4 linked regions of the Arabidopsis thaliana genome follow. The protein of the gene in region 1 interacts with the protein of each later gene in a pairwise test. Each region holds a gene or a part of one and is shown on either strand. Other genes may lie near its edges.

Region 1 (4,963 bases):
AAAGGAACTTAAAGAAAGAGGTCTCCAGAGGAAGAAAGCTGTTCCTGACAGACTTAATAGCATTCATAAGCTTAATTCAACTCCTGCTTCTGCTCATAACTCTAATCCAAATCTTGAGGAGCTACAGACGTCTCTTCTTTCTAAAGCAACATCACTATCCGAAACTGCATTGAAAGTTCTTCTTTGCAAACGAGATAAACTGGTAATAACTGTAGAATTTGATCAAAGATACACAACACAGCAAAAAAACTGATTGGCAATAGCATATATATCCTTATTTTATGATTAAGAGCTGCTCTCTTTTTCTCTGGCTGCAGACTCGTCAACAGAGGAACATAGAAGACGAGATTGCTAAATGTGATAAATGCATCCAGAACATCAAAGGTATGTATATATACATATACTTTTCCTTTCTGCACAGCTTTGTTTTTACATGAATCTTAGTGATCTCGTGGGTGTTATAGGTGATTGGGAGCTGCAATTAGAAACAGTACTCGAGTGCTGTAACGAGACATACCCGAGGCGTAACCTTCAAGAATCTCTTGACAAGTCAGCATGCCAAAGCAACAAGAGGCTGAAGCTCAGTGAAACTCTTCCTTCTACTAAAAGTCTGTGTCAGGTTAGTTTATGGTTACTTTAATCATTTCTTGTTCAAAGAATTAAGATTCATTGCCCCTATTTATTGCAGAGACTCGATGATATCTGTCTCATGAATAACTGGGTACTACCAAACTATCGTGTGGCTCCATCAGATGGTAAAGTTTTGAGATCATTTGCCAAACTCGTAGTTCAGCTCCATTACTCCCTTCAGATTTGCATGTTGATGTTGATGCTTTGTTCAAAAAGGTGGATATGAAGCTGAAGTAAGAATCACGGGGAATCATGTCGCATGTACAATACATGGAGAGGAAAAGTCTGATGCTGAGGAAGCTAGGGAATCTGCGGCAGCTTGCTTGCTAACAAAGTTACAACACGACACAGCAGCCAACTTATCATGATTATGTGAGATTCAAGAACAACTCAGAAACCAAACTAACTTCCAGCATGAGTAGAAAACAACCCTGATTTTGATATGTATGGCCATTTTGGACGAATAGCAAGATTTGTACAAAACTCCATCCTCTGGTTGAGATTTTGAGATATATTACAAGAAGTCAAAGGTATTAACTGATGCAGAAACTAAAGTAGAACCAGAATCATGTTAAAAACCTAATCCTAAGCCTCCTGCATTTAAAACAATCCTAGAAACTCAAAAACCCAACAAAGTGCTAAAGAGGGATGAAAGAAATCCTAGTAAAAAAAAACCCTAATATTGTTAACTAGACCAAAAACCTCAACAATGGCCTGAAAGATTAGACCAATATGAATCTCAACAGACACAAGAAACTTGTCAACAACGAAAATAGGAGCTATACTGTCTCATGGCAAAACAGAGGACTCCATCGCACCTAAAGGCCCAAAGACAGATGTCGTCGCGAGCTTTCAGTTCATTAGAGGGTTATTGGGTTTAAGTGGTCTCTGTTGGGCCCAATGGTTGGCCCAATATTTATTGATTTGGATTCTGATTATCCCGGGGGTGATTTCAGTCATCGTCTCGATCAATCTTCAACTCTCAAATTGAAGTTTCCATGGGAGGCCACGAAGGTTTCAGCAACCAACGCCTCTCCTCCGCCACATGGTTCTCTCATTTCCGTGCTTCAGCTCTCCGATCTAAATCACTGCCCCCTCCGTCCTCGCAGACTGCCGTTCGCTCCACCTCTGGCGACTCTCTGGTTCGTCGCCTCGGCCTTTTCGACCTCATACTGTTGGGCGTCGGCGCTTCCATCGGCGCCGGTGTCTTCGTCGTCACCGGAACCGTCGCTCGCGATGCTGGACCTGGTCAGTTGAATGAATTACTTTTTCTCACCACCTCCTTGATTCGTTCAGAATCGCTTAGTGATTATTGCTGCCGTTGCGTGCCTAGGAGTCACAATCAGCTTCTTGCTAGCTGGAGCATCGTGTGTGTTGAACGCTCTCTGTTATGCTGAACTTTCATCTCGTTTCCCTGCTGTTGTTGGTGGAGCTTACATGTACTCTTACTCAGCTTTCAATGAGATCACAGCTTTTCTTGTTTTCGTTCAACTCATGCTTGACTATCATATTGGCGCCGCTAGTATCTCCCGTAGCTTGGCCAGCTATGCTGTTGCTCTTCTTGAGCTTTTTCCAGCCCTCAAGGGCTCTATTCCTCTCTGGATGGGAAGCGGCAAAGAGCTCTTGGGAGGGCTTCTCTCTTTGAATATTTTGGCTCCCATTTTACTTGCTCTCTTGACCCTTGTTCTATGCCAAGGTGTGCGAGAATCTTCCGCTGTCAACTCCGTTATGACTGCTACTAAGGTAAGCTTCTTTCCTTTTAACCTTCTCTTCTTATCTTTACCAAAAAAAACTCTTCTTCACTATATTGTTTCTTCTGTAGGTCGTGATCGTTCTCGTTGTGATTTGTGCCGGTGCTTTTGAAATTGATGTAGCAAATTGGTCTCCTTTTGCGCCTAATGGTTTTAAAGCAGTTCTCACTGGAGCTACTGTTGTCTTCTTTTCATATGTTGGATTTGATGCAGTTGCTAATTCTGCTGAAGAATCGAAGAACCCTCAGGTCTGCCTATATATATGTTGAATGTACATACTATCTACAAAGTCTCTTATGTCTGTTTAATTCTTGTTCAGCGCGATTTGCCAATCGGAATTATGGGGAGCCTTCTGGTTTGTATCTCGCTGTATATTGGCGTATGTTTGGTGCTCACCGGGATGGTCCCTTTTAGCCTCCTCAGCGAAGATGCTCCTTTAGCTGAAGCCTTTTCATCAAAGGGTATGAAGTTCGTCTCAATCTTAATCAGTATTGGTGCTGTTGCTGGACTCACAACTACTCTGCTTGTTGGTCTTTATGTTCAGGTGATAATATATATATATGTATTTCTTTTGTAATTTCTTTTATTATGTACTTGTATATTATGCAAACCAAGGTAACACTCTTGAGTAATCATATGATATTTCGGATAAACAGTCCAGGTTATATCTGGGACTTGGAAGGGATGGTCTATTGCCTTCAATCTTTTCCAGAATACACCCAACTCTTCATACACCTCTTCATTCTCAAATCTGGTGCGGCATTGTAGCTGGCGTTTTAGCTGGCATATTTAATGTACATAGTCTTTCCCATATTCTGTCTGTTGGTACATTGGTACGTCAAGGTCTTAATTTTAAATATCTCTTTGCTTTTCTTATTGATACTTATACTTTCCAGTTTAACATTATTTTCGGTGTTCCATTTCTTCAGACTGGGTATTCAGTTGTTGCGGCTTGTGTTGTGGCATTGAGACTGAATGATAAAAAAGATAGAGAGTCGTCCAATAGATGGACATCAAGTTGGCAGGAAGGCGTCATTTGCCTTGTTATAATTGCATGCAGTGGTTTTGGTGCTGGCGTATTTTACCGTTTCAGTGCTTCAGTTATATTTATTCTCCTCTCAGTTGGTGTGGCAGTTGTTGCTTCAGCAGTTCTTCATTATCGCCAAGTAAGTAGCCTTAAGTATAAGCCTTAATTCCATAGCACACTCTTCTTAATTTCATAGCGCCAAAAAAAATAAAATAAAAAAACCAAGTTTCACCCCTGTTAAAATGCTAGATACTAAGTCTTTTACTGATACAGCATAAAATAGAGACCACCACTAGCATGTTCTGGCACTTAGAACTCTACAGTGATACTATGAAAGTCTGTGACTATTGAAGTCTTTGCATTCTTGGTTTAGAGGAGAAGTTTGTTAACATCAATTAGGAAATATACCCTCATGGTTGTCTCCACAAATCAGGCAAATGCCTTGCTAGCTATGCTTCATGTTAAACCCCTCAGCTTTTCGCTTCCAGGCTTATGCTCTGCCTCTAGGTTCTGGGTTTAGCTGTCCTGGTGTACCCATTGTGCCATCCGTTTGCATTTTCTTCAACATCTTCTTATTTGCTCAGGTACACGCTAAGAACTAACTTTATACTAATTTCACATACCATATGATCTACCTTTGATTTTTCCGCTACTGTGCAGTTGCATTATGAAGCATGGATAAGATTTGTTGTTGTCAGTGTGCTTGCAACTGCCGTTTATGCCTTGTATGGGCAGTACCACGCAGATCCGAGCATGTTGGATTATCAGAGGGCACCTGAAACTGAAAGCGACGCTTAGTAATGCTACATTATAGTTGTGTTACTTAAAGCCATTTGTAGAGTTGATAGCAAGTTTCTGCGTTTCGTGAGAGACATACTGTATGTCACATACATATTCAGGTCGAGTTTAAGGATTGGATGGGATAAGGCAGTTAAACATTATTGTTGTAAAGAAGTTAATAAAAGTATGCTTGTGCATTTCAACTAAAGCCTTGAATGACTGAAAATGGCTTTTGTGCTACCAAATAATCCCAGAAGCTAGCAATGTTCACATAAACATACTCAATGTTAGAGTTATTCAACGGATCATAGTATAGAATCAGAAACAACAAGCTTACTAATAACAGACATCCAAACCCTCTAGCATTGTAGTAAGACCAAAACCCTCTAGAATTGCCCCAACTTAGCCGGCTGTACAAATGAAGATCAATCTCCACAGAGACAAGAAGCTTAGCAGAGACGGCGAGCATTGGAAGAGCTACTCTGTCTCAATGTAAGAGGAGGAACAAGAGCAAAACAGAGGATTCCACGCCACCTGAAAGACCAAAGACTGATGTCTTTCTGATTTACCCCTCTCGGTGACACCACACGCCTCTTGGGGCTCGTGGTCTCCCGTTAGACACAAAGATGGAGTCTTCTTGGACTCGGCAATGTAGTTTTGAAGAAGGTTAAAGAAAAAGGCGATGAAGAAGAAGTGGAAGCCCCATTAAGATTTTGTTGTGAATGAAAACTGAAAAGAGTGACTTTGTTGTTTTATATAGTTCGTTAATCCGTTC
Region 2 (6,468 bases), on another chromosome or scaffold:
TAGCTCTATATGAAATTTGGCCCTACTTTATTTGACATGACCTTTTAAATATTTGAAAAGCCATGAGACAATTTATTTAATTTTCATAACCGTGATAATAAAAACAATTTGTTTGTAAGAACAATTACATAACAACATTTATCTAAATTATGAGTCTCGTCGGCGGTATGTAAAATATGTTAATATTATCCTTTTTCTATGTAATAGAATAATAGATTATCTTTCTTGGTTGGCACTAAATTGCACGTTAAATACTTGAAAACTTTGTATGTTGAAATAGTAATCCAATTTTAACGAAACTTTTTATTTTGTAAAGATTTTGATGGGCTTTTTAAAACAATTTCTACGACGTGGACAGACTTTGGAGTTTGTATGATTAATTAGATTCAGATCCTCACGTAGATTGAATAAACAATAACTCAATAATTGATCCTTCTCAAATTTTAATAAAATAAAAACATTTTTTAATAATAAAATAACAACATTACAAAATACCAAAATATGTAGGGTAATAGTTTTTGCTAATATAGTTATTATATTATTACTAAAATATAAATTCACATGTTAATATTTGTTGTTGACAAAAACAAAAACAATGATATTACAAAAAAACAAATAGGGTGATTAAACGCTAGAAGATCCGTAACCATTTTGATGACAAAAAGATATGGTACTAAGATGAACACGTTTTTGAGAATATTCAAAACAAATTCATTTCCGAAAGATTATCAATTTTCAAGCATACAGTATGATCTGGTAAACTATAAATGGTAGAACCACGATAATTAACTAGTCGATTCTATATGTTATGACATAGACTTAGCTAGGAGCATATCCGGCAGACCGGCACTAATCTAATGATTTCATGAGTTGTTATTATCTAAACTAATTAACAATTAATAGAATGAAATATAGTTTTATATTTAAGTTTTTTTTTTTTTTTTTTTTTTTTTCGGAATATCAGGAGGTTCTGGGCCGAAACCCGTAATCCCTTCAGGCCTGAAACCACAACATGTAATATTAGTTTCGTCCCAAACATCACTCGAACTAACGACCTCTAAGTTTCGCCTAGGATCTTTACCAATTGAGGTAACAACGCTTGGTCAAGTTTAAATCATTGTTGCTTTCTGTGAGATTTTGATCCCTATAACCTAATTTATCTTATGAGAAATTAACCTTTTTTGATAAAGGATAAGGAAAATAGTAACCTTGTATAAAAAAATTCATTGCCATTTTCATATATATATATATATATATATATATATCCTAAAATGTATATCTCTAATAAAATTAGAAGAAATGATACCAAAAATAAAGGTGAAATCATGATAAAATTTTGTTTTTTTTTGTTTTGGTTCATTGAGTTTGCCATTAACGCTTTTTTTTTATAAATAATTTCGTCTACACAAATTCATCCATATAATATTTTCTTTTACTGCATCAGAGTTTCACTATGTATTTAGGTTTTTTATGAATTTTAAAAAAGTTCAGCATCAAGGTGAAGAAAATTCCAAAAAAATAAATAAAACGGTGACCCAAAAAAAACTTGTTGTCTTCAAAACCAAAAGTACTCGACAAATCAAATAGATAAATCATGAATCTTAGTACAGTCAGGTTTTATCGTCTACGATAAGTTCCACAATAAATCCAAACACTAAACTGTTCAGATCTCAGATAGTAACTTTAAATCAACGGCTATAAATTCGCCATTTGTACTTTCATTTACACAACAGAGAATAATACATACACTCTATCTCTCTCCTATTCGTAACTTATATTTCTCTCTCTACTGTGTTTAGAAATTGGAATCTTCTCTCTTCTCTATCTCCCTCTCTCTTAAAAAGGGACCGTACACGTCTCTCTCTATTTCCAGTAAAAAATCGAAATTTCGTATAATTTCCTCAGTCCCGTAATTTTCTCCTTTTTTTTCTTCCCCAATTCCTTCAATTTTCGAATTCGCCTCTCTGTTTCGTTCCTCGTAGACGAAGAAGAAGAAGAATCTCAGGTTTTAGCTTTCGAAGCTTCCAAAATTTTGAATTTTGATCTTCTGGGCTCTTTTGTAAATCAGACTGAAGATATTTAGATTACCCAGAAGTTGTTCAAGGTAAAGCAATTCAGATCAGATCCACCAATTTTTTTTTTTTTTTTCATTTGAAGTTTTTGTGTTTGTTGTTTGTTGTTGGGAGATATTTGAAATCTGGGTTATTAAAGTTCCGACCTAATTTCATATTGTGCTATTACCAAAAATAGGAAATTTTGAGAATTTGGTTTTATGTTGTCATCATTTAATAATATTAGCCTTTTGTGGGATTTGTGCTTTTTGTTGTTTGTATCAAAAGTCTCAGATTTGGATTCACTTTTTGTGTGTTTTTTATAGTCAAAGCTGATTCATGCTATACATTACACAGCTTCACTGTTTAGTCTCAGCTCTGTTTTCTTGAAAACAGGAATGGTTTCAGTGGACAGCACGGAAAGATAAAAGAGACTTTTTTTTCCAGATTTTGCTGATCCAAAATCTGAATAGTTGTTCATGTTCTTGGATCAAATCTGGAAAGAGGAAGTTTGTTGGATCTAGAAGAAGATAACAATGTTGGATTCTCTAGTGTCGAAACTGCCTTCGTTATCGACATCTGATCACGCTTCTGTGGTTGCGTTGAATCTCTTTGTTGCACTTCTTTGTGCTTGTATTGTTCTTGGTCATCTTTTGGAAGAGAATAGATGGATGAACGAATCCATCACCGCCTTGTTGATTGTAAGTTCACTCAATTGAAAAGAGTAATTACTGAGTTCCAACTTGAATGACATTTGAGCTATTTGGTTGCAGGGGCTAGGCACTGGTGTTACCATTTTGTTGATTAGTAAAGGAAAAAGCTCGCATCTTCTCGTCTTTAGTGAAGATCTTTTCTTCATATATCTTTTGCCACCCATTATATTCAATGCAGGGTCAGTCTTTTTTTTTACATCCATTTGAGCCTTTTCCTCTATGTTGGGATATATCTTTTAATGTAGGACTTAGTTTGGTAGGGTCTCATGCTATATGATACGTTTAGTTGCACGGGTTTTACCTACAAAAGTTACATAAAACAGATTGAAAGAAAAAACTTAGTTTTGAAAAGTATGCATTATGTGATTCTAGGTGATAAAGTTAGTACAACGCTTTAAAGATGTTGATTAGTAAGCTTAAGCTCTACTTCTATAAATACCTGTCATACATCAACTTTTTCTAGTACTTGTGATTGTTATAAAGAAAAGAGGGCATGATGTCTTTTTTTGAAGTAGTTAGATTTATACACGTGCAAGTAAGTGTGGTCCTGGATTTGTCTTTGTCATGGATCTTTCTCAGATTTGTTGTTGTCTATTTCAGGTTTCAAGTAAAAAAGAAGCAGTTTTTCCGCAATTTCGTGACTATTATGCTTTTTGGTGCTGTTGGGACTATTATTTCTTGCACAATCATATCTCTAGGTAGGTTACTTCGCTTTACGATTGGCTGAAACACCGCTGAATGCGGCTTTTTGGATTAGGTCGAGATAGTTTTGTATATCTCTACTGATTTTCTGGTGGTTCTTGAAACAGGTGTAACACAGTTCTTTAAGAAGTTGGACATTGGAACCTTTGACTTGGGTGATTATCTTGGTAAGGCCTGAACTAATGGCTTCTTTTTGGTTCCTATTGCTTTACTTAATCGGGAGACTTGATTTGTTTTTGGTGTTTGAATCTCAGCTATTGGTGCCATATTTGCTGCAACAGATTCAGTATGTACACTGCAGGTAATGTGTTTTCTCCAACATGACTTAAATTACTTACAAACCCTGAAACATAGTGGACCGAAAGTTTCTGTTCCTGTTGTGTTGTGATATAGGTTCTGAATCAAGACGAGACACCTTTGCTTTACAGTCTTGTATTCGGAGAGGGTGTTGTGAATGATGCAACGTCAGTTGTGGTCTTCAACGCGATTCAGAGCTTTGATCTCACTCACCTAAACCACGAAGCTGCTTTTCATCTTCTTGGAAACTTCTTGTATTTGTTTCTCCTAAGTACCTTGCTTGGTGCTGCAGTAAGTCCATTGTTTTCTTCCCTGCCATTCTTTCTTGTAGCTGCTATATGCACGCTCTGGTGTTCACATCTTTGTTATTCATCTTGCAGACCGGTCTGATAAGTGCGTATGTTATCAAGAAGCTATACTTTGGAAGGTACATATTTAACGTCATATATGTGACTTGTTTTCTTTAAGTTGTTTCCTGTTTGGTCTAACGTAGATGGCCTCACATTAATTGTCACAGGCACTCAACTGACCGAGAGGTTGCCCTTATGATGCTTATGGCGTATCTTTCTTATATGCTTGCTGAGGTTAGATTCTTTTAAATAACACGAACATATTCATTCAGTTGCATTCAAACACAAATTATATTGATGTTATATTAATTTGGTTGCAGCTTTTCGACTTGAGCGGTATCCTCACTGTGTTTTTCTGTGGTATTGTGATGTCCCATTACACATGGCACAATGTAACGGAGAGCTCAAGAATAACAACAAAGTATGCAAACTTTAGTTTCTCCGCCTTTTGCTGAGATTAACACTTTCTACCTCCCAATGATTATCTTATGATTTTTTTCGATGAAACAGGCATACCTTTGCAACTTTGTCATTTCTTGCGGAGACATTTATTTTCTTGTATGTTGGAATGGATGCCTTGGACATTGACAAGTGGAGATCCGTGAGTGACACACCGGGAACATCGATCGCAGTGAGCTCAATCCTAATGGGTCTGGTCATGGTTGGAAGAGCAGCGTTCGTCTTTCCGTTATCGTTTCTATCTAACTTAGCCAAGAAGAATCAAAGCGAGAAAATCAACTTTAACATGCAGGTATGTATCATTCTACTTGGTACTAATAGATTCAATAATTCTTCTGGATTTCAGCTATTTATATCTATCATTTTTTCCCATTCTTTAGGTTGTGATTTGGTGGTCTGGTCTCATGAGAGGTGCTGTATCTATGGCTCTTGCATACAACAAGGTATAAAAAGAATGTCTTTAAATACTCTCTATGAAGCTTCAAATGACACAAATCATCATTTAACACTTGTTTCTATTGTAGTTTACAAGGGCCGGGCACACAGATGTACGCGGGAATGCAATCATGATCACGAGTACGATAACTGTCTGTCTTTTTAGCACAGTGGTAAGAAATCTCTGGATGATCAAATGAGTTACATAATATTTCTTAATTGAATTGGACATTTGGTTAATAGATTCTCTTGAACCTTGTTTTCAGGTGTTTGGTATGCTGACCAAACCACTCATAAGCTACCTATTACCGCACCAGAACGCCACCACGAGCATGTTATCTGATGACAACACCCCAAAATCCATACATATCCCTTTGTTGGACCAAGACTCGTTCATTGAGCCTTCAGGGAACCACAATGTGCCTCGGCCTGACAGTATACGTGGCTTCTTGACACGGCCCACTCGAACCGTGCATTACTACTGGAGACAATTTGATGACTCCTTCATGCGACCCGTCTTTGGAGGTCGTGGCTTTGTACCCTTTGTTCCAGGTTCTCCAACTGAGAGAAACCCTCCTGATCTTAGTAAGGCTTGAGGGTAACGTGGAAGAAAAGCTTTGATTTTTTTTGGTAGAAAAGGGTGATTCAAATTATGCTTTTGTGTAAATTATCCATTTGTAATATTGTTTGTGAGGACAGAAATCTGTCCTAACGTTTTGAGAGCAGAAAGCAAAACATGGCAACTTTGAAGTGTTTGATTGATGTATGTAATTATATTCATATTTGTTTTGTTGTAACACAAACTACACATTTGTTTATGTTTTGAATTTGGTTTTTGCTTCGAACTTGAGGATCGGATTGGTACGGTTTGGTTCGATTTCGGACAAAAATATTAATAAAGAATTATTTCTTTATGTCAAAACAAAAATTTAGTGAACCTAATGGCTAATGATATCAAAATTTGGTAGGTCTTGAAACTTATAATCTAACTAGATTTTAACCCGCGGTATACCGCGGGAACAATTTATTTTTTAAAGTTAGTATATATAAAAGTTTACAAATTGTATCTATTTATAAAATAATTTTATTTTATAGTTTACAAATGTTATTAAGTAACATCCTGCCAAACCCGTCCTGTAAAAAAGAAAACCATTTATTTTATTAATGTTGATCTTATTTATGATATGTTTATGAATCATTGTCTAAATATTTTGTAATTTTGTAGTAATTAAATGCTATCAGATTATATCTCTTCGCTTTGATGATTATAATCGAATTGTTATAGTTATGGAGAAAAGCAATATCAAAAATGATAATTTTGTAGTAATTAAATGATATTAAATATTTTAGAAGTATTATTTTAGTAAATAATCGTGTAGTTAATGTGGAGAGATTTTGGGAAGATTGTTAAATGTCAAATATTTAATTCGAAGATTTTCTTTTTAATTATCAAAAACAAAC
Region 3 (5,087 bases), 1.5 Mb from region 1:
AATGACCAGGATTAGGGGATGCATCTCTTGGTTAGATGCGCCATATGGGTAGGTAACCGCAAGGCAATTGTTTGGTTACATGGCGGTTATGATGGTAGCCATCAAGTGACATACGACCACAAAACCTTGAAAATGACTTTGTAAGCAAATGCAGAGTAGAAACGTTAATAGAAAACCAAACTTGCCTTGATCCTCTATTGCCCAACTCCTCCAATACATAAGATGTGATAGCAACTTATGTAGGACACACCAAACCAAATAAATTACACAATCTGTGAGTGTCTGTTTTCAAGATTTCCCCGACAATTCCATTAAGCAAAATAAATAATAATAACTCGAAATTGACACAACCACACGAATTTGAAAAAAGCTGAAATCCATATCTCATGGGACTCAAACATCCAATGTTGATTCAATAATTGTAGTCCTAAAAATAAATCAATAACTAATACATTTTCATAAATTTTAGTACTAATACATAAGTTAGCATTTTGGTTTTTAACATAGCTGAAAACAGAACGTCACATTATTTGGAGAAACATTAAGTACTAAATATTTAGCATGAAATAAATTTCATATAATTCATATGGATCACAAGGTTTTTTTTTGGCAAACATAGATTATAAGTCACACTAGTCTAAATTCTTGAAGGGCTTGTATGACTTGACACTATTAATTAAGCCAATGATGGATCCTACGGCGGCAAGGGCCGAGACGATCAAGCAAACCAATACGAGGAGGTTCAAGGCCAACCATCTACGAGAATACTTCTTGACTTTAGCCTGCGCAATGTGCATTGCCACCGGAAAATAAACTGTGAGTGGCCAGAACGCGAATGCCCCTAGCAAACCCAAGATCGCATTGAAGAAGGGGAATATCATTGCTACAAATGTTGTCAAAACAACATAGCATGTCCTCCAAACCAGTCTGAAGAGGTTGACACGACATTTTCCAAGCAAAGGAACCTTTGACGAGTATTCTTTGTTGATGAAATTGCTTTGAGGCCATTTTTTGTTGCAGTTTTCCTCAACAAACTGGAAAAACGGCTGCGCATACACCTGCGAATAATACAGGGATAAAAAAAAAAAAAGAGCATTTTTTAGAAACAATATTTAGTAATAACTCCATTTCTACAATCTTCTGAATTGTTAAAGCTAAAAATTCTAACACAATAATGAGACTTTTAATGAACTTGAACACGGTAAATGTATGTTACACACTTATCCTATTCTTTTGTTTGTGAGTTATACCTGATAGGCACCTATTAGATGGAGAGCAATGCAAGCATTGGCAAAGTCGATGAGCCAATAAGGTTCGTAAAAACCAAAATCGGTAAGGAAGTCACCAGGGGCTTGGTTGCCGAACGCAGCATATCCGATGCAACCACACAAGATGTAGAAAACAGTTGTGGTTGAGACTCCGACAAGACTTGCTCGTTTCATCACTTTGTTCTCTGGTGGGCTTGATCTCAATGTGTCCTGCAAAATAAACAAGACATACTACTAGAGCGTCACTATCTTTAGAGCTTCACATATCTAAAATATGAAACTATTTTTATCCATCATCCATCCATCTATATTTTTTCCTAACTGTCTAATTAATAATAACATCTTATCTTCAAGGTATTCTTATTTTACCTCTCTTTGGCGAAATTAATAATAACAAGCAAATGAAAACAATAGTAAACGGAAGATAGTAGGAATCAGTAGTACATGCCTGAATCTCGATGAGAATAGTGGTAAAAGCGTATGAAAAGGCAATGTCTCCAATCGCTTGAAACAATTTCCAAACTTTTTCAGACGCAGTTACGTCCACACCTATCACTGTCCCTGTCAATTCTGTCTTACCAATCTTCCCACCTTTCATATATATTGTATACCATTTTCACGGTTAGTGTCAACTTTGAAGAATCATCCATATAAACCACTATGTTTTAAGATAAAGAAGGGGAATGTACTTGCTACAGTAGCGATGGCTAGGCCTATTCCGATAGACGCATAAGAGAAGGACATAACCGCGGCGATGATGGATAGGAAAGAGAGCTTGTGGAAGTTAGGAAGCTGGCTCAGAATGATCTGGACGATCCCAAATGCCGCCATGTATGGATAATTCGATACAGAACATTTCGCTTTATGTCCCTTGTCATGATAACAATTTGATTTCCCAATCGCTCTAACGAAGACGTACAAAAACACCAATCAAACAATTATTAGTAATTTTATTCAGAACAACATGTTAGTATAACCATAACAAAATAATCGAAATAAATCAGAATCTTTGACTTACACTAAGCTTATGGAGGCAGTGATGGTGTAACCAATAGTGACCCCTACGAGATTCACGTACTGTGCCACTCCACATAGCTGAACCTTTTTACCACCTGCGTTTTATGTTATTAAAGAAGAAAAATGATTACTCTTGTACTACTATCAAATACTACCAATCTTTTGGTCTTATGGCAAAGTTTCTAAACATCCCGCATAATTCCAAATTTTCAACGAGGGGTCAACAATCGAATTTATAACATTCTTTAACGGGATAAATTGAATTGACTATGTTACCAATCCTAATCAATTTAATTTATTAACTAAGTTATGAAAGAATGAAGATTATCTTCCTTTTTTTTATATAGATTTTGATAATTAATTCATATCTTCCCATGAAAGAGCATGCACACTTGGCAAAATCGTAAATCATTTTTTTCTAACAACCATATTTTTTTCTTTCATTGTTCAACAACAATAATGTTCTTCAACAAATTTACATGGTAAAAAATTGTTGAAATGAGCCAATTATACTGTAGATTTACAAATTCCAACTTAGCATTAAATATATATTTTTAGATCAGATTTTTTTTCTTTCGCCAGCCATCATCATTGTGACAGAAATGGAAGAAAATCAAAACACATGTCCTAAATTGAGACTAGTTAGGCAAAATCTAAATGATATCAAATGAACAAAATCCTTGTTCATCTGAGAAAAAATGTCTAGAAAACTGAAAAATCTGTGAAAAACAATGCTGATAAAGACACAAAATGAATTTGTTTATATGAATCCATACCAAGGTAAGATCGGACGACGCCCATGTAATTATAGTTGCGTGTTCCGGTGATGGAGTCCGGCGAACGGTAACAGTCGGCGAGCAAGGTGGACGTGTAGTAAGTAATGATGGCGAAAGCGACCAAAACTGTGGTTCCTGCCACCCAACCAAGCTGTGCTATAGCCCAAGCCAACGACAGCACCCCTGAGCCTATGACCGCCGTGATTATGTGCGCACTCGCCGTCCAAAATGTTCCCGTTCTCTTCTCTCGACCATCGTCGTCGACGCTTTTCACGGCGGCGTCACCCGACTCCACCGCCGAGGGATTGTTGTATGCGTCCATCATTGTGAGAGAACCACTGAACCAGAGGAGAGAAGAGAGGGGAAGAGAGTTATTGACAGAGGTCGTCTTATTAGAGTACTCCCTCACAATCACGTACTTACATGTATTATATACACAAATATCGATGTTTATATGGAAAGAGCATCTTTGTACGTTGAATCTTATTTATTAAGAGAATCTTCTATTACGAGGATTTATTTCTTTTGACTTTGATTTTGAATGTGTAACCACTATTGCTTATTCCGGAAACAAAAATTGGTCCGCATGTTGAAAAGAGGATTTACCTACATTAACGACACTACGAATAATCGAAATTAGGTAACTGATTAAAATTAGATGAGTAAAACAGAGAGATATTTCCTTCAGATCTTGGCCTCTTGCATAGCTATATCCTCTCTTCTATCTTGCTCATTTATCTTCTCAAATCCTCACATGCACATGATTCATTAATCGGGAAATTAAATCATTAACATTGAGTTATAATGATGTATTGATGTGAATCTATATATATATATTGTTGTATCAACTAAATATTATGATATATCTACAACATTTTGTTATTAGTATCGCATCAAATACAAAATTATGTGGATTTACATGTTTGTATTATATTTTACTACTATTTTAACGGTTTACAAAAACATGTAAACCAAACCATAAATTTCACTAATTTCAATTATGTACGATTTTGAGTCTTCATTACTTCTTATCGTTTCTTTCACTCTTATAGTCTTATCTCACAATCCGTAATTTGTGCACAATTAATGAATTCAATGTTGTATTTTGTCGTATTAAATATGGATTTTGACCAACATAAACCTGATTTTTTAGTGGATTATTTTAAAATATATCCACAAAATATTCCTTCGAATAAAATCCCATTCTAACTATATCCATAAAATGCCCATCCCAATTGTCGAGACAGAATCAGATATCTAAAATGACACATAATAAATGTCGCATATTACACCATTAAAGTACGGTACGTTGACCTCCTACCTGACTATGAACAGCTCATCAGACAGCTCCCTGTGCCCTCAAGTAGGGGTGTGGATAAATTGGTCTGGTTACCGGTAAAATCTGGAGAGTATACCTCAAGATCAGGTTACGGGGTAACATCCTTGACAGTGCTACCAACAGCTCAGGTCCGCTTTAACTGGCAAGCAAACCTTTGGAAACTCCACACTATGCCGAAGATCAAACTTTTCCTATGGAAGGCGGCTGCAGGAGCTCTCCCTGTGGGTGCACAACTCGTAAGAAGGCATATATCATCAACTTGGGATTGTGCACGCTGTGGGGCTCCGGAGACTTCCACCCACATGCTGTTTCACTGTGATTTTGCGGCACAAGTTTGGAACCTAGCGCCCCTCCAATTGGGTCACATCCCTATCGGTACCCCTATTTTGGAAGCTCTTAACTTACTTAAGAAAACCATCGTTCTCCCCCCGGTTGGGATTCATACAGCAACCCTCTTCCCCTGGATCTGTTGGCACATCTGGAAAGCCAGAAATCAGCTTATCTTCCAAAATTCTCATTTCTCTGTGATAGAGACTGTTACAAAGGCGGTTCAGGATGCCTTAGCGTGGCAATCCGCCCAATTGGCGCTCCCAAAAGTTCGTGTAGCGACCCCCCGCCCAAACTCCACAACAACTCTGACTCATGATTTTCTCTGCTACGTGGATGCGGCTTGGCAACAACAGAGCT
Region 4 (4,083 bases), 3.7 Mb from region 1:
ACCCAAAGTTCTTCGTTCATCTTTCATGAGGCTGTTCCATGCCCTTCCGACCATTGCATCCAACCCAACTGTGGTTTGGATATGCTTCTTCTCCACCTTAGGCGCAGGAATTTTCTCTGCCACCACTTCAAAAACTCCTTTAGCTAGAAGTCCTTCCACGTGTTTCAACTTTTTCAGTACATTTATTCCGTAATTGCGGCCAGATATGAAATTCTTAGAACAATATCCACAGAGACATAACCTTTCAGTTTGAATTGATTTAGCTTTCAGCAGATCATTGACTTGAGAACAAACATCTTTAACCCTTGAAAGCCAACCTTGAACTTGAGCAAGCCGTTGCAAACCTTTGTCTTCTTCTATGACAACTCTTCTTAACAGATCATCTCTTCTCTCCTCGAGCTCTTGCATAGTATTCTGCAGAGCCTCGAGATTAGCCTCCATCTTGAGAATGTAATTCCGATCACCAAATAAGCAGCCACAAGCATGATTCAACGTTTGATCACAAGATATTTCTAGTGCTACACAGTTTCCCATCTTACTCAAACTTTCAAATATCAAGACGATGCAGGAAACAACACAAGATAAGGAGCACTGAATGGAGAAGAGGAAAAAGAGTACAATCGTGCCCTCCTGATATTGATTAGAAAATTTAAAAGTCAGACTGCAAGTTCTAATATCTTATTGAAAGTGGCAGCTTCAACGAAAAGTCAAGATGCGTGTTCAGATATCCACAAAATGACATTGACCATCAAACATTAAGAAACTATAAGATAAAGTTTTCTATCCACAAAATGATATTGACCATAAAAAAATATGAAGAGCACAACTATCTTTCAACTTTCAACTAATGTAACACTCTGCTACTGTAATTGTTGCCGTAATTACTCAATTCAAGCTCATCCCTTTCTTCCTCTTCTTCAGTATCATCTCCGATATGTTCGTCAATTGTCCCTCCGCCATAAAAAATCTCCTACTTTCACCAAAAAAAATAGACCTTATTTCTCTTTGGAAAAAGTTCGTAATTCATTAAAGAGCAAACACGAAGAACTAAAGCCATTAACAACTCGAAAAATTGCATAATTTTCCCGAGCACCAACAAGTGAAAACACGATGAAATAGTAATCCACAGATTGAGTTGAGATTGATCAAAAGCAATTCGAGGAATTTCTGAAGAAGCAAACAGAAGGAAACCGAACGAGATCGAAGCAGTGAAGCAAAAGCGTAGTCAAAGCGAAAGAGAATTAGTTACCGGCGGAAGAACAAATTTGAAAGCGACGACGGGCGGCAATCGCTTGAATTGATTGTGAGGGAGTGAGACTTGAGAGTGGAAGTATATCCGAATGGAGCAGTTTGATGAGAGAACCCGGTAAGCTTCTAGGACTCGAGCCATCGAGCCGGGTCTATTTTTACTGGAGAACGATGTCGTTTATGTTAAGGTTTACTATTATCCACGTATCGCTTGCAAGTTTGACTAAATGTGTAGGTCAACTTATATATAAACTTACTGTAGGGTGGAAAACACTGGATTATACCCGCCGAATCTCAGGTCATCGAATTAATTAATTTGTGATTACGCAAAACTGAAAAGCAATTTTCCGTTGAAGGGGTACGCAGAAATTCTGTCTGCGTCTCCGAACCAACTCTATCCTTCTCTCAATCCGATCCGTTCCGTTCACTACTTGTCTCAATTTCGAACCAATTGGATCGCATCTTTTAGGGGCTCAAACCTTTGGTGACGAGGACGAGGAAGAAGATTGTCGCATCTGATTTATATCGGAAAAAGGTCTCTTGCCGGAAAGGACACGATCCGCTTTCATAAAGGAGAGATTTTGACAGATTCAGTAGACGCCATGGATGTGCCTAGCTCTTGGGATGCTTTACGGAAACAGGTATTTTTCTTTTTATAAAATTATTGTGTCGTTTGATTCGAAGCTACTAGGTAATTGTGTTGGGGAAGCTGGTAGTGTCTGAAAATCTGTCTTGAATTTCGAATATTTGAGGTCTGAATTGATATCAATCTTCTGGGTTCGATTCGAATTGGGGAATTTATTGGTTTTGTTGGCTAATTCTCAATGATTTATCTTTTTACTGGATCCAATTGATATTTGAATAAGCTTTGTGTTGTATTGAATCCCACAGGCTAGAAAGATTGAAGCTCAGCTTGACGAGCAGATGCATTCATATCGTAGACTTGTTTCCACAAAGGCTTTATCAAAATCAGATGGTAATGAGAGTGATCTTGAAGCTGGGATTGACTTACTTCTTAGGCAACTGCAACAAGTTAATGCTCAGATGCAAGCATGGGTATCTTCTGGTGGGTCAGAAATGGTCTCCCATACTTTAACTCGACATCAAGAGATCCTTCAAGATCTGACACAGGTACTGTTCCTTTCCTGACTCATACCATTTGAATATTTGCCTTATTCTATAGCTTGTGTTGATTATATACTGATTAGTAATGAAATGAGTGTTATCTTTTTAACCATCTGTTCACACTCTGCTCTTGGACTAGTTTATGACTCAACCTTCGTTGTAAATCAGTCTTGTTCCTGTATGTATGACTCATTCAAAATGCAGGAGTTTTATCGACACCGCTCCAGTCTTAGAGCAAAACAAGAGCATGCTTCACTTCTTGAGGACTTTAGAGAATTTGATCGGACTAGATTAGATTTAGAAGATGGATATGGGTCTGAACAAGCCCTGATCAAGGAACATATGGGAATCAACCGCAATACAGCTCAGGTATATAAACTCTCCTTTGCGATTAACCTTTGTTAGACTCTACAGCTGTAGCGTACAATAGGCCTGGCTTTCTCAAGTTAATCGAACACGTCATGACTTATGTGAGCTGACTATTATATAAACGGTGCAGATGGACGGTGTCATTTCACAAGCTCAGGCAACACTCGGTACGCTTGTGTTTCAACGTTCAACTTTTGGAGGCATCAACTCAAAGCTTAGCAATGTCGCCAGCCGTCTACCTACGGTACGAAGAGCTTTCCTAGTCTTATTTACACACTCTTTTGCTCGTTGCTTTCTTTATGTTCGGTTATGGCCTGTGTTTATCCTATATCTCACCCTGCAATTGGATGGTTAAAACCACTGCAGGTGAACACTATTCTGGCAGCGATAAAGAGGAAAAAGTCGATGGATACAATCATTCTTTCACTCGTTGCGGCTGTATGCACATTTCTCATATTCATTTACTGGATAACCAAGTAGAATTTGCCCATTTCTTTCGTTTCATCTTTATGTTGGGCCACGTCTGGTTTTCCCATGATGTCAATTTGTTCTGCAATTATCGGTGTTCTAGTAAAGAATCTAAAGATCAAAAACATAAATATTGTGTACAGAAAATTTCATCCCTGTCTTTGCAGTCTAGACGAGCTTGTTAAATGTTGAGTTATTTTGGAGATGCCACACATACAGTACAACCATCTGTTTCTCTCATCTTGTAACTTTTTATTTGTGGGAGTATGTTGCTGCATTGAAAAGGGTACATGGCGCCTACATGCAATACGGCTTTAATATAATCATTATCATATATATGCTCGCAACTAATCCATATTAGATTTAAATGTCACATTACCTCTGGAAACTAAGAACCATGCCAATAAAAGTCCATCTAAGCCATATAATCATATATCCAAGGGAACATTCATTGGCTGCTTAAGAATGTGGTCGGCAGAAGATTTTATTTTTGCTCAACATAAGATTTAACAGTCTCCATCCATCTAATATACTCAGCTTTATCTTTGTTCTTCATGTACTGATGCAAGAACTCAGCAAGATCATCACTTATACCTCTTTCCTCCAAAAATCGATAAACCGAGTCTTGAAGTTCATCTTCCATTTCCCTGTAAAATTGAACAAAAGACAGTTTAGTTCCATCGTATCAGAAACAAAAAGAAAATGTTTATGTTTAAAAAAGAAGTGATCAAATCACAGTACTGGAATTCAGGTCCAATATAGGCATTTGGTGAGTTCTGGCTGCTTTTACGAACAAAGAACTTGGTGATCTGTATGGTATCAGGCCAAGCAGAACACATGATCTCTAAGGTCTCACCATCACCCTTAGAGATG

The links.
Region 2: the proteins of CAT9 (region 1) and NHX1 interact in a protein complementation assay, tested with the Arabidopsis thaliana proteins (one large-scale study listed by BioGRID).
Region 3: the proteins of CAT9 (region 1) and AAP8 interact in a protein complementation assay, tested with the Arabidopsis thaliana proteins (one large-scale study listed by BioGRID).
Region 4: the proteins of CAT9 (region 1) and GOS11 interact in a protein complementation assay, tested with the Arabidopsis thaliana proteins (one large-scale study listed by BioGRID).

The regions. Positions count from the first base shown.
Region 1 is NC_003070.9:1,800,608-1,805,570, reverse strand, and holds CAT9 (cationic amino acid transporter 9), read left to right. Parts: upstream 1-1,570; 5' UTR 1,571-1,628; coding exon 1,629-1,878; exon of another isoform or gene 1,879-1,963; coding exon 1,964-2,373; intron 2,374-2,452; coding exon 2,453-2,629; intron 2,630-2,700; coding exon 2,701-2,925; intron 2,926-3,037; coding exon 3,038-3,214; intron 3,215-3,310; coding exon 3,311-3,547; coding exon of another isoform or gene 3,548-3,574; exon of another isoform or gene 3,575-3,896; coding exon 3,897-3,992; coding exon of another isoform or gene 3,993-4,010; exon of another isoform or gene 4,011-4,068; coding exon 4,069-4,206; 3' UTR 4,207-4,461; downstream 4,462-4,963. Other genes in the region: AT1G05950 (uncharacterized protein), read left to right, coding at 1-202, 318-384, 465-619, 689-755, 847-998; AT1G05930 (B3 domain protein (DUF313)), read right to left, coding at 4,638-4,722. UniProt on the Arabidopsis thaliana protein: Permease involved in the transport of the cationic amino acids.
Region 2 is NC_003076.8:9,551,664-9,558,131, forward strand, and holds NHX1 (Na+/H+ exchanger 1), read left to right. Parts: upstream 1-1,636; 5' UTR 1,637-2,104; intron 2,105-2,447; 5' UTR 2,448-2,587; coding exon 2,588-2,752; intron 2,753-2,824; coding exon 2,825-2,943; intron 2,944-3,364; coding exon 3,365-3,462; intron 3,463-3,573; coding exon 3,574-3,633; intron 3,634-3,720; coding exon 3,721-3,767; intron 3,768-3,859; coding exon 3,860-4,054; intron 4,055-4,143; coding exon 4,144-4,190; intron 4,191-4,280; coding exon 4,281-4,347; intron 4,348-4,433; coding exon 4,434-4,534; intron 4,535-4,623; coding exon 4,624-4,864; intron 4,865-4,952; coding exon 4,953-5,015; intron 5,016-5,096; coding exon 5,097-5,180; intron 5,181-5,273; coding exon 5,274-5,603; 3' UTR 5,604-5,931; downstream 5,932-6,468. UniProt on the Arabidopsis thaliana protein: Acts in low affinity electroneutral exchange of protons for cations such as Na(+) or K(+) across membranes. Can also exchange Li(+) and Cs(+) with a lower affinity.
Region 3 is NC_003070.9:3,264,272-3,269,358, reverse strand, and holds AAP8 (amino acid permease 8), read right to left. Parts: upstream 3,474-5,087; 5' UTR 3,387-3,473; coding exon 3,062-3,386; intron 2,381-3,061; coding exon 2,287-2,380; intron 2,173-2,286; coding exon 1,958-2,172; intron 1,860-1,957; coding exon 1,717-1,859; intron 1,479-1,716; coding exon 1,251-1,478; intron 1,059-1,250; coding exon 633-1,058; 3' UTR 536-632; downstream 1-535. Other genes in the region: AT1G10000 (Ribonuclease H-like superfamily protein), read left to right, coding at 4,571-5,087. UniProt on the Arabidopsis thaliana protein: Amino acid-proton symporter. Stereospecific transporter with a broad specificity for glutamate, aspartate and neutral and acidic amino acids.
Region 4 is NC_003070.9:5,457,857-5,461,939, reverse strand, and holds GOS11 (golgi snare 11), read left to right. Parts: upstream 1-1,580; 5' UTR 1,581-1,850; coding exon 1,851-1,889; intron 1,890-2,139; coding exon 2,140-2,379; intron 2,380-2,577; coding exon 2,578-2,742; intron 2,743-2,872; coding exon 2,873-2,986; intron 2,987-3,108; coding exon 3,109-3,222; 3' UTR 3,223-3,542; downstream 3,543-4,083. Other genes in the region: AT1G15890 (Disease resistance protein (CC-NBS-LRR class) family), read right to left, coding at 1-534; AT1G15885 (uncharacterized protein), read right to left, coding at 845-970, 1,250-1,390; AT1G15870 (Mitochondrial glycoprotein family protein), read right to left, coding at 3,695-3,857, 3,952-4,083. UniProt on the Arabidopsis thaliana protein: Involved in transport from the ER to the Golgi apparatus as well as in intra-Golgi transport. It belongs to a super-family of proteins called t-SNAREs or soluble NSF (N-ethylmaleimide-sensitive factor) attachment protein receptor.